Linked DNA regions of Rhinolophus ferrumequinum. The protein of the gene in region 1 purifies or fractionates together with the protein of each later gene. This does not show direct contact. Links are inferred from orthologs where the notes say so. Each region holds a gene or a part of one and is shown on either strand. Other genes may lie near its edges.

Evidence for each region.
Region 2: the proteins of ASF1A (region 1) and IPO4 purify together in Homo sapiens (affinity purification with mass spectrometry; 4 studies listed by BioGRID and IntAct, counting the BioPlex papers as one, with this or other methods). This does not show direct contact. The link is inferred for Rhinolophus ferrumequinum from reciprocal best matches to the Homo sapiens genes ASF1A and IPO4.

Annotation. Positions count from the first base shown.
Region 1 is NC_046286.1:69,172,573-69,176,317, reverse strand, and holds the start of ASF1A (histone chaperone ASF1A), read right to left. Parts: upstream 2,526-3,745; 5' UTR 2,141-2,525; coding exon 2,032-2,140; intron 1-2,031. UniProt on the Homo sapiens protein: Histone chaperone that facilitates histone deposition and histone exchange and removal during nucleosome assembly and disassembly.
Region 2 is NC_046289.1:74,345,902-74,349,646, forward strand, and holds the start of IPO4 (importin-4), read right to left. Parts: upstream 2,382-3,745; 5' UTR 2,152-2,381; coding exon 2,083-2,151; intron 2,004-2,082; coding exon 1,917-2,003; intron 1,818-1,916; coding exon 1,738-1,817; intron 1,659-1,737; coding exon 1,617-1,658; intron 1,203-1,616; coding exon 1,073-1,202; intron 985-1,072; coding exon 805-984; intron 564-804; coding exon 498-563; intron 385-497; coding exon 283-384; intron 203-282; coding exon 119-202; intron 1-118. Other genes in the region: TM9SF1 (transmembrane 9 superfamily member 1), read right to left, coding at 2,762-3,155, 3,736-3,745. UniProt on the Homo sapiens protein: Nuclear transport receptor that mediates nuclear import of proteins, such as histones, RPS3A, TNP2 and VDR. Serves as receptor for nuclear localization signals (NLS) in cargo substrates.

The sequences.
Region 1 (3,745 bases):
ATCCAATTGACAATAAAATGGAAAAATTACAGACTTGGGTATAAAAAAATGGTCCTGGTAGCTGAAATGTTTATAGTAATACTAGTAGAAAGGAACCAAATGGTTTCAGAGTAACAAGAAAAATCCCCTTTAATTTTTATTATCAATGGCCTATTTAGAAATTATTTTAACAAGTGAATCATCTTCCAAAATGTGCACTACAAGGTATATATACAGAGGGTGCCAAAAAAAATGTATCCACATTTTAAGAAAGGAAAAAAACTATTAAAATTGTAATAATGTATACCCATAACAAAAGGTGAACACAAGTCACGTTGGACTTCAGCAATTACGAGGTGCTCAACGTGGTTACCATCAGCATCCAGACACTTCTGATTACCGGAACTACTGCTTGAGCAATATTGACCAGAGTCATTGTATACATTTTTTTGGCACCCCAGTATATGTGCTATGTGCTTCATATGCGCATTTAAACTTTATAGAGGAGCACAGATTAAAGTGTTAATTATGGTTACTTATACAGGAGTGAGATGGGGAAGGCACTGAGTACAGAGGACTGTTACTTTATATATGTGTGTACAACTTTTTAAAAGTTTATTTCAATGAGCGCGTATTTTTATAATTTAAAAAATTAACACCCTACGTAAGATACTTCTTACAGATTAAAAACTAATTTTCATAGTGAAATGCCTTACATGACTTAATTAGCACAATAATTTAAAATGAACTTTGCTAAATAGATTTCTAAGTTCAAAGAAGTTATGTCCTCTATTTAGTTGTAAAATTACCACTGAAGTTAAACGTTTTCCCCCTCAAATTTCCAAAATGAAGCACTGGATTATTTTTAATAAAATCGCAAAGATTAGACCTTGGCAAATTTTACTTTTCTAAATATTTATTACTGCACATATTAAAACTATCTTCTTTAAGACCTTAAAACATACTTAGAAAAAATAGTAAAATTTTTTGCATTGCCATTAGGACTTTACCTTTTATCTCCTAGCCCACTTTTGTGTTTTATGTTCAGGATGTTTGGATGTGGAGTTATTTTAATTAGATTTCAATACGTTCGTGAAGAAAGTGTTCTTTCAGATTTAGAAGCCAGTAATTAAGTCCTGGTAATTAAGTATTTTCCTTATTTCTACTCTTGGGTTAAATGTAACTTTCTAGCTTAACAGTATTTTTGTTCCTGAGAGAGAGAGAAGATTTCAGTCATTAAAGGAAAGGAGTCCACGTTGTTCGAGGCGAGCCTGCGCGCGAGCATCCCGGGCGCTCCGGGCATCCCGGGCGCCGGCCAGGGAGCACCCACGGCCCCCGGGGAGCGCCGGCGCCCGGCCCGCGGCGCCGAGCCTGCGCCCGCCTCCCCTACTGGTTGGTCGAGGGAGCCAGAAATCAGCGCGAAGACAGCCTCGCTCTCCTCCCCAAAGCGGCCGGGAATGGCCACCCAAGAGAGTGCGGGGACTCCAGCGTAAGCCCTAAAGATGGATTTGCCTTTCCACTCGGGGGCCGGAAGGTGGGCAGGCGGGGCGCCGTGTTCGTCACCCGCGGAGAGGAGGCGTCGTGACGCCGGGGTCGGTGGCCCACTTCTTTACTCTGGGTAAGATGGCTCCGCTGCTAACTCGCCGGCGCGACCACACACATGCTTACCCCTTCCCAGCCTTCCCGCGGGGACCGTGGAGGCCGTTCGCGGCGCGGGGCCAGCCCGCCGCGACCCCCGGTCGGCTCCGCCGGCGGGAGTGCGGGTCTCGCGAGCCGCCGGTCCACCAGACAAAGCTGACAACATGGCTACCTCTGCTGGAACAAGTTCCTAGCAAGTTGAGCCGCGGCAGGCGCCCGGGCTGCGGCTGAACGCCTCGCGCGCCTCGGTGCCGTCGTCCATCAACTTCAAGTTTCCCTCCGCAGAGCCAAGCCCGGAGCCCGCAGCCCGCCCGGCGCCGAGCACCGGCCGCCCGCGCGAGGCCGGGCCCGGGAAACTTTCAACGTCTGCAGCCCGCAACTGACAGCCCGGCGACGGGCGGGCGCCCGACTCACCTTCAGACAGGTCCTCGATGCACTCGAAGGTGATCTCGAACTGGAATGGGTTGTAGAAAGGAGAAGGGTTATCCAGCACCACTACATTGTTCACCTGAACCTTTGCCATATTTTGAAAAAAACAAACAATGGGAACGGGGGCTTGTTGCGGCACAATCAAGTCCAGCGCGCGGCCGCCCGGGAGAGCGCAGACCCCCGCCGCGGCGCCGGCCCGACGTAGTGCAGCGGCGACTTGAGAAACTTTTTTTTCCTCTTTTTATTTACACGGGAACACTCCACAGTGTTTTGCAGCTTTCCTATTTCACTAAACTACAGCCCATTCTGCTCTGATAACTAGCAGCGTTGCTCGCGATTGGCTGCACCCGAGCTCTGACCCTCCTCCTCCACCGAGGGCCTTGGCGGCGAGCAAGATGGGCTCCCGCTCCCTGAATGGACTCGGAAACTTTAACTGCGGCTCCACCTGCTGGTGTGGATTAGGACAAAGGCAGAGAACAAAGTGAGTGGAATATGGGTTGGGAGGCCCGCGCGGAGGCCGCCGCCGGCGGGGGGGGTGAGGGGGGTTGGGGGGAGGGTGCAGGCCCCGCCCCCGGCCCGGCGGCTCCCGCGCCTCACGTCGGGCGTGGCCGCGGCGGGGCGGGGGTTGGCGATGGGCGTGGGCACGGCCGTGGCGGCGAGGGGCGTGGCCATGGAGGGGAGGCGTGCTCGCGGCTGCAACGGCGGCGGGGGGACGGGATCTTGTGTGACGCCCGCCCCTCGGGGTTTTTTTTGTGTGTTTTTCACTCTTTTTACAATAGTCCAACGGCTATACCGGCTCTCTACTGAATTTAGCAGATGTGATTCGGTTGTCTACACTAGGTTCAGCTGTCTGTGTGTTGGGTAATATTTCGGGTAGAGAGAAGGGTTGGTTGCAGTGGAAATAAATTGCGTTTTGTAGACCAATGCCATCTCGAAAGGAGCAAAGCCATTTTGGAAAGCTAGCTCTTAACCCGGTATCTGCGTTTGGGCACAACAGCGGTATTAGTTAAATGGAAACAAAATGAAAGGCGAAGAGACGCTTTTGCGCACACACTTTGCTTGGAAAATCGGAATAAATAGTATTTGGGCTGCAACTGGGTCTTCCTTTCCTATCTGGAAAGTCCTAGAATAAGAAAAAGATTATACTAGAGATGTGATCAGTTACACCCCTGGTTGCTGCCGTTTGGTGTGAGTAACAGGAACATAAAAGGAGAAAATGGAAGTATCGGGCGACCAAAGAGCAACAAATACAATCTGAGAAGGGAAAAGGAGAGTAGAGAACACAAAGGCATACCAAAGACATGTAATTTTCAAAAAATGTATGACCTAAACTGTTAGTAAATAAGAATTTGTAGCACTTCACACAACTTCTGGGAGCCTTTGCTTTATTCAATGTCGATTCATTTATGCTGCTTGACTACCATTGTGGAGAAAGGGAGAGCTTTTAACACATTTGTGAGATTGAACTGTTTGAATCTCTAAGTAAGAGTGGCATAAAGGTTTGTGTTATTACCTGCTTTTCATAAACCATCGTTTTTTCCTTAAGTGTTGTGACTGAAACCACTTAAGTTGGCTAATTTCAGAGAGAAAATTCTTAAGTATCACCTATGCTGGAAGAGTTTTCTCTTAGTATAGTGCCCAGAATTTTGAGTTGTCATTGTTTGGGCATTGTTCATACTTAAGTAGGTTGCTTTTGATG
Region 2 (3,745 bases), on another chromosome or scaffold:
ATCTTAAACATATTAGTTAGCTATGGTACTCTAGCTACCCCAAGATGGTCAAAAAGCCCTAGGAGTGAGACGCGGGGTGGAGGTGGGGGTGGGGTAGTATGCTTCAGAGGGCACTCACCTTGCTCTTGACTTTGACCAAAAAACTGAGGCAGCAGAGAATACGTACACGTATTGCATCACTCAGGGCCATGTTTCTAGCCACCTGCACAGAGACTAAGGCAAATCAGAGACAGACAAGGAAAATCCCGAACATGCTGTGGGGCTGGGCCCACCCAGGCTCACCTCCAGGCAAAATGTGAGGACGTCAGAGAGGTGGGAGGTGATGATGGGCACCTCTGACTCCAGCAGTTCATCCAGGGCCTCCATGGCCTCACAGGCCTTTGCCTGCCAGAGAAACAGAAAGACAAGCCATAGGTTTACCACGGTCTTCTACAGTGGACCGGGCTGGAGATGGTCCTGTGCTCCTTCCCACAGAGCTCCTGCCCAAATGTCCTCACCTCGTCTACAAGGATGAGAGTCTGGATGGCCATGATGAGCTTGGGCACCAACATCTGCACAAGAGGCTGGAGGATACAGGATGAGTTGAATCACAGAAAGCACGATGCAGCTAGTCTCAGGCCCCAGATGCTGGCGGCTTCCTCGAAGCCTGGACACCGGAGGAGCCAAGGCACAGCCACCCACAGTATCCCCCCTCAATTGTTAGGAAGAGCAAAAGGCAACGAAAGAATCTGAATGGTTCTGCATCGTGCAAGGGTGAGGACACGAAGGCCCGAGGACAGGGCACCAGGGAAGGTGAGATCTTACCACGTCATCAGCGCCGAGGTAAGGGACCATGGTGGTGAGAGTGCGCAGGGAGTAGAAGAGGAGCCCAGGAGAGCCCACCTCACCAAGGGTCTCATTCAGAAGCCGAAGAAGTTCTCGATGGTGGGGTCGGAAGGCCTCAGGCCGGGAGGTCACCACGACACTTAGCAGCAAAAGCCCCTTCTGTCCAGGAGTAGGGGATGAGAGGGAAAACCTTACACGGTCTATCCAGCCTCTTGGTCCCTCCCTTCTACCAACCACGTGATAGTACCTCTCTCTCAGGAATGTGGGGGCTGTGGGTACTGTGTTGAAGAAGCTGCATGAGTTGAGGCCAGGACGCCAGGCCTTCCTTTCGAAAAATGGTGGCTGCGAGCTGGGCCAAGCTAAGGCTCACATTGTGCCTGCAAACAGGAGAGATTCCCCTGACCCCCAACCCTCCAATTCTCTCTCCTGCATATGTTGGCACTGCCTCCATGGCGTGGTCAAGAAAGAAACTTCCAGGTGGGGGCTTTGCCAAGTTGGGACACATAAGACAGAGGCTCAGAGGAAAATGAGCAGCATGGTGGGTGTGTAATCTGGTGAGCGTGACCTCACTCAGATTTAGTTTCAGTTCCATTCTTTGGCATACCATCACAACCCATTCTCAAGAACTTTAGTCTTCAACACAGCCTAGAATGCCTGCTCCACCCTTGGTCTAAAACTGAAGTCCCTGCCCCCCAAGTGCCAACCTGGAGCTGAAAGAGAAGGCAGAAACCGAGAGAGGGTCTCAGCCTGGAATCAGTAAGGATCCGGAGAAGAGGCGGGTAGGCACTTACTCTGTCTCTCTCTGGAAGGCAGTCAAGACCAGGGACTTGAGGCTGGAACACAGGTGGCAGGTGTTTGGTACTCGGCCTGCCCATCGCAGCCTGGCCCCGCCCCGCCCCTGGCCCTGCCCACCTCTCCCGGTGTTCCGCACCGAGCCGTCGCCAGCGGGTGCTCAGTCGTCTGCGGATCAGCAAAGCTGCGAACTGGCGGATCTGGGACGAGAAAGCAGGCACGTGAGGGTCCGGGCAGGAACTGCGGCTTGACCCGTGGCATACTGTGGGAAGCTCGGCGGGAAGGGGCAGGAGCCTCACCTGAGGGTCGGCCGCCGAGGCCAGCGAGTCGCAGAGCGCAGGCAGAGCGGCGGGGTCCCGAAGAGCGATCTGGAGCTGCTCCGTGGCCTTGGGGGAGGCTGGGGTCACAGTCGGCCCTTTCCCGCAACCTCCCGCTCGCCCTGGACCGGCCCCGCCTGCCCCGTACCTGGCGGATGCGCTCGGTGTCTGGCAGCAGCAGCTCCCGCAAGATCTGCTCCAGGCCGGCGGGCTCCATGGCAGCCGCCGAGCCGACGCTACTCGGCCGGGATGGGGGAGGGACAGCACGTGGAGGTTCTGAAACCCACTTCCGGCGGAAAGGGCGTTGCACCGCGCCCCTCCCGTCGCCAGGGTGATTCAACTAGCTTCGCACAAAGCGCTCCGGCTTCGCCGCTTCCGTTGGGCTGATCGCTGCTGAGCCGCGGAAACAACGCCCTGGCGATGTAGGTTCCTGGAGCCGAGAGTTCCCAAGTTCCCAAGGTCCGTGGAGAACTCGAGTTCCGTGCATTGCGCGGCCGCCCCGGCTTTCTAAGGCACACTGCCCTCCGCAGGGCTCGACTTCCTATATCCAGACCAAACCCTCCAACTACAGGATCCTTTTTCTTAATAAATTTTATTTTGATAATTGAAAAAAGAAAAATCAGGACCAAAACTAAAAGCAACTTAAAAAGTTCAAATATATACTTCTTATATAATAGAGATTTATAGTTTTCAGGCCCTCTCTGGGGAAGGGAGGCCCGAAGGGCAAAGGGGAAGGCAACAATTCAGTCAATCAGAAGAGATGTTGGTAACAGATAAATGGGACATGACGAAAGGGAGAGAAGAGCAGTAGTTTTGCCACCCAAAACTCAGTCCATCTTGAGGTTAACATAGATATAGCGAATGAACTTCAGGGAAGAAAAAAAGGAGATGGTGCCCAGCATGAGGAAGAAGACATAACCAGTGAGTAAGGAGTAGCCAAAGAACTCCACCGTCTGAACCGGCCCTGACATGTTGGAGCGCCTGGCATAGTAGAAAACTGAGTAGAGGAAGATGAAGAGCCCGGTGGAGCCAACGCTCAGCACAGATCGCCACCACCACCGATAATCCTCCCCAGACAACTGGAAGTAGGTGAGTGCAATGGAGATGCAAGCCCCCACACTCAGCAGGATGGCGAAGACAAAGAAGAGGATGCCATACAAAGTGTACTGCTCCCGACCCCATACTGTGGCAAAGATGTAGTACAGCTCCACAGAGATGGCACTGTGAAGAGAAGAAACGAGACACAGCATTAAATGGCTGTGCACTGCCAGCACGGGGCCAGGCCAAAATCCAGTCCCCACCCCTCTATGTTACTGGGTCACTGTGGGAAGTGGATTCACTTCACTCTGTGCCCTGGAGTTCCTGGCTTAATGAAGATTCTTTTACCTATGATTAGCTGCTTCCATTTTCAGAACATTTTTGATAGGTTGAGTTTGGGGATCTCGTCTGTTTTATTTTCCATTGTATCACCTGCCTGCCACTAAGAGGTACTCAACAAATTGAATGAATCAAATGGGCTTTAACTAAGCCCAACATGGTACCTGTAGACCCTAAATTCAGAAACCAGGAAGATGGAGAAAGGATCAGTGTCTCTGGAGAGCTTTACAAGTGAGACACCCTCATATCTGAACTGATTCAAGCTCAGTCCTGCTTGGATAAAGGGGGAACCCTTTGGTGATCTCTTAACGCTACAGCTGAACCAGAGATTATCACTGACATTGGGTTAGGGTACGGGGTGAGTGGGGCAAGGAAAAGTGGTAAGGAATCTGAGAGTGGTGGTCGTGGAATAAAGGGAGGATACCTGAAAGGCA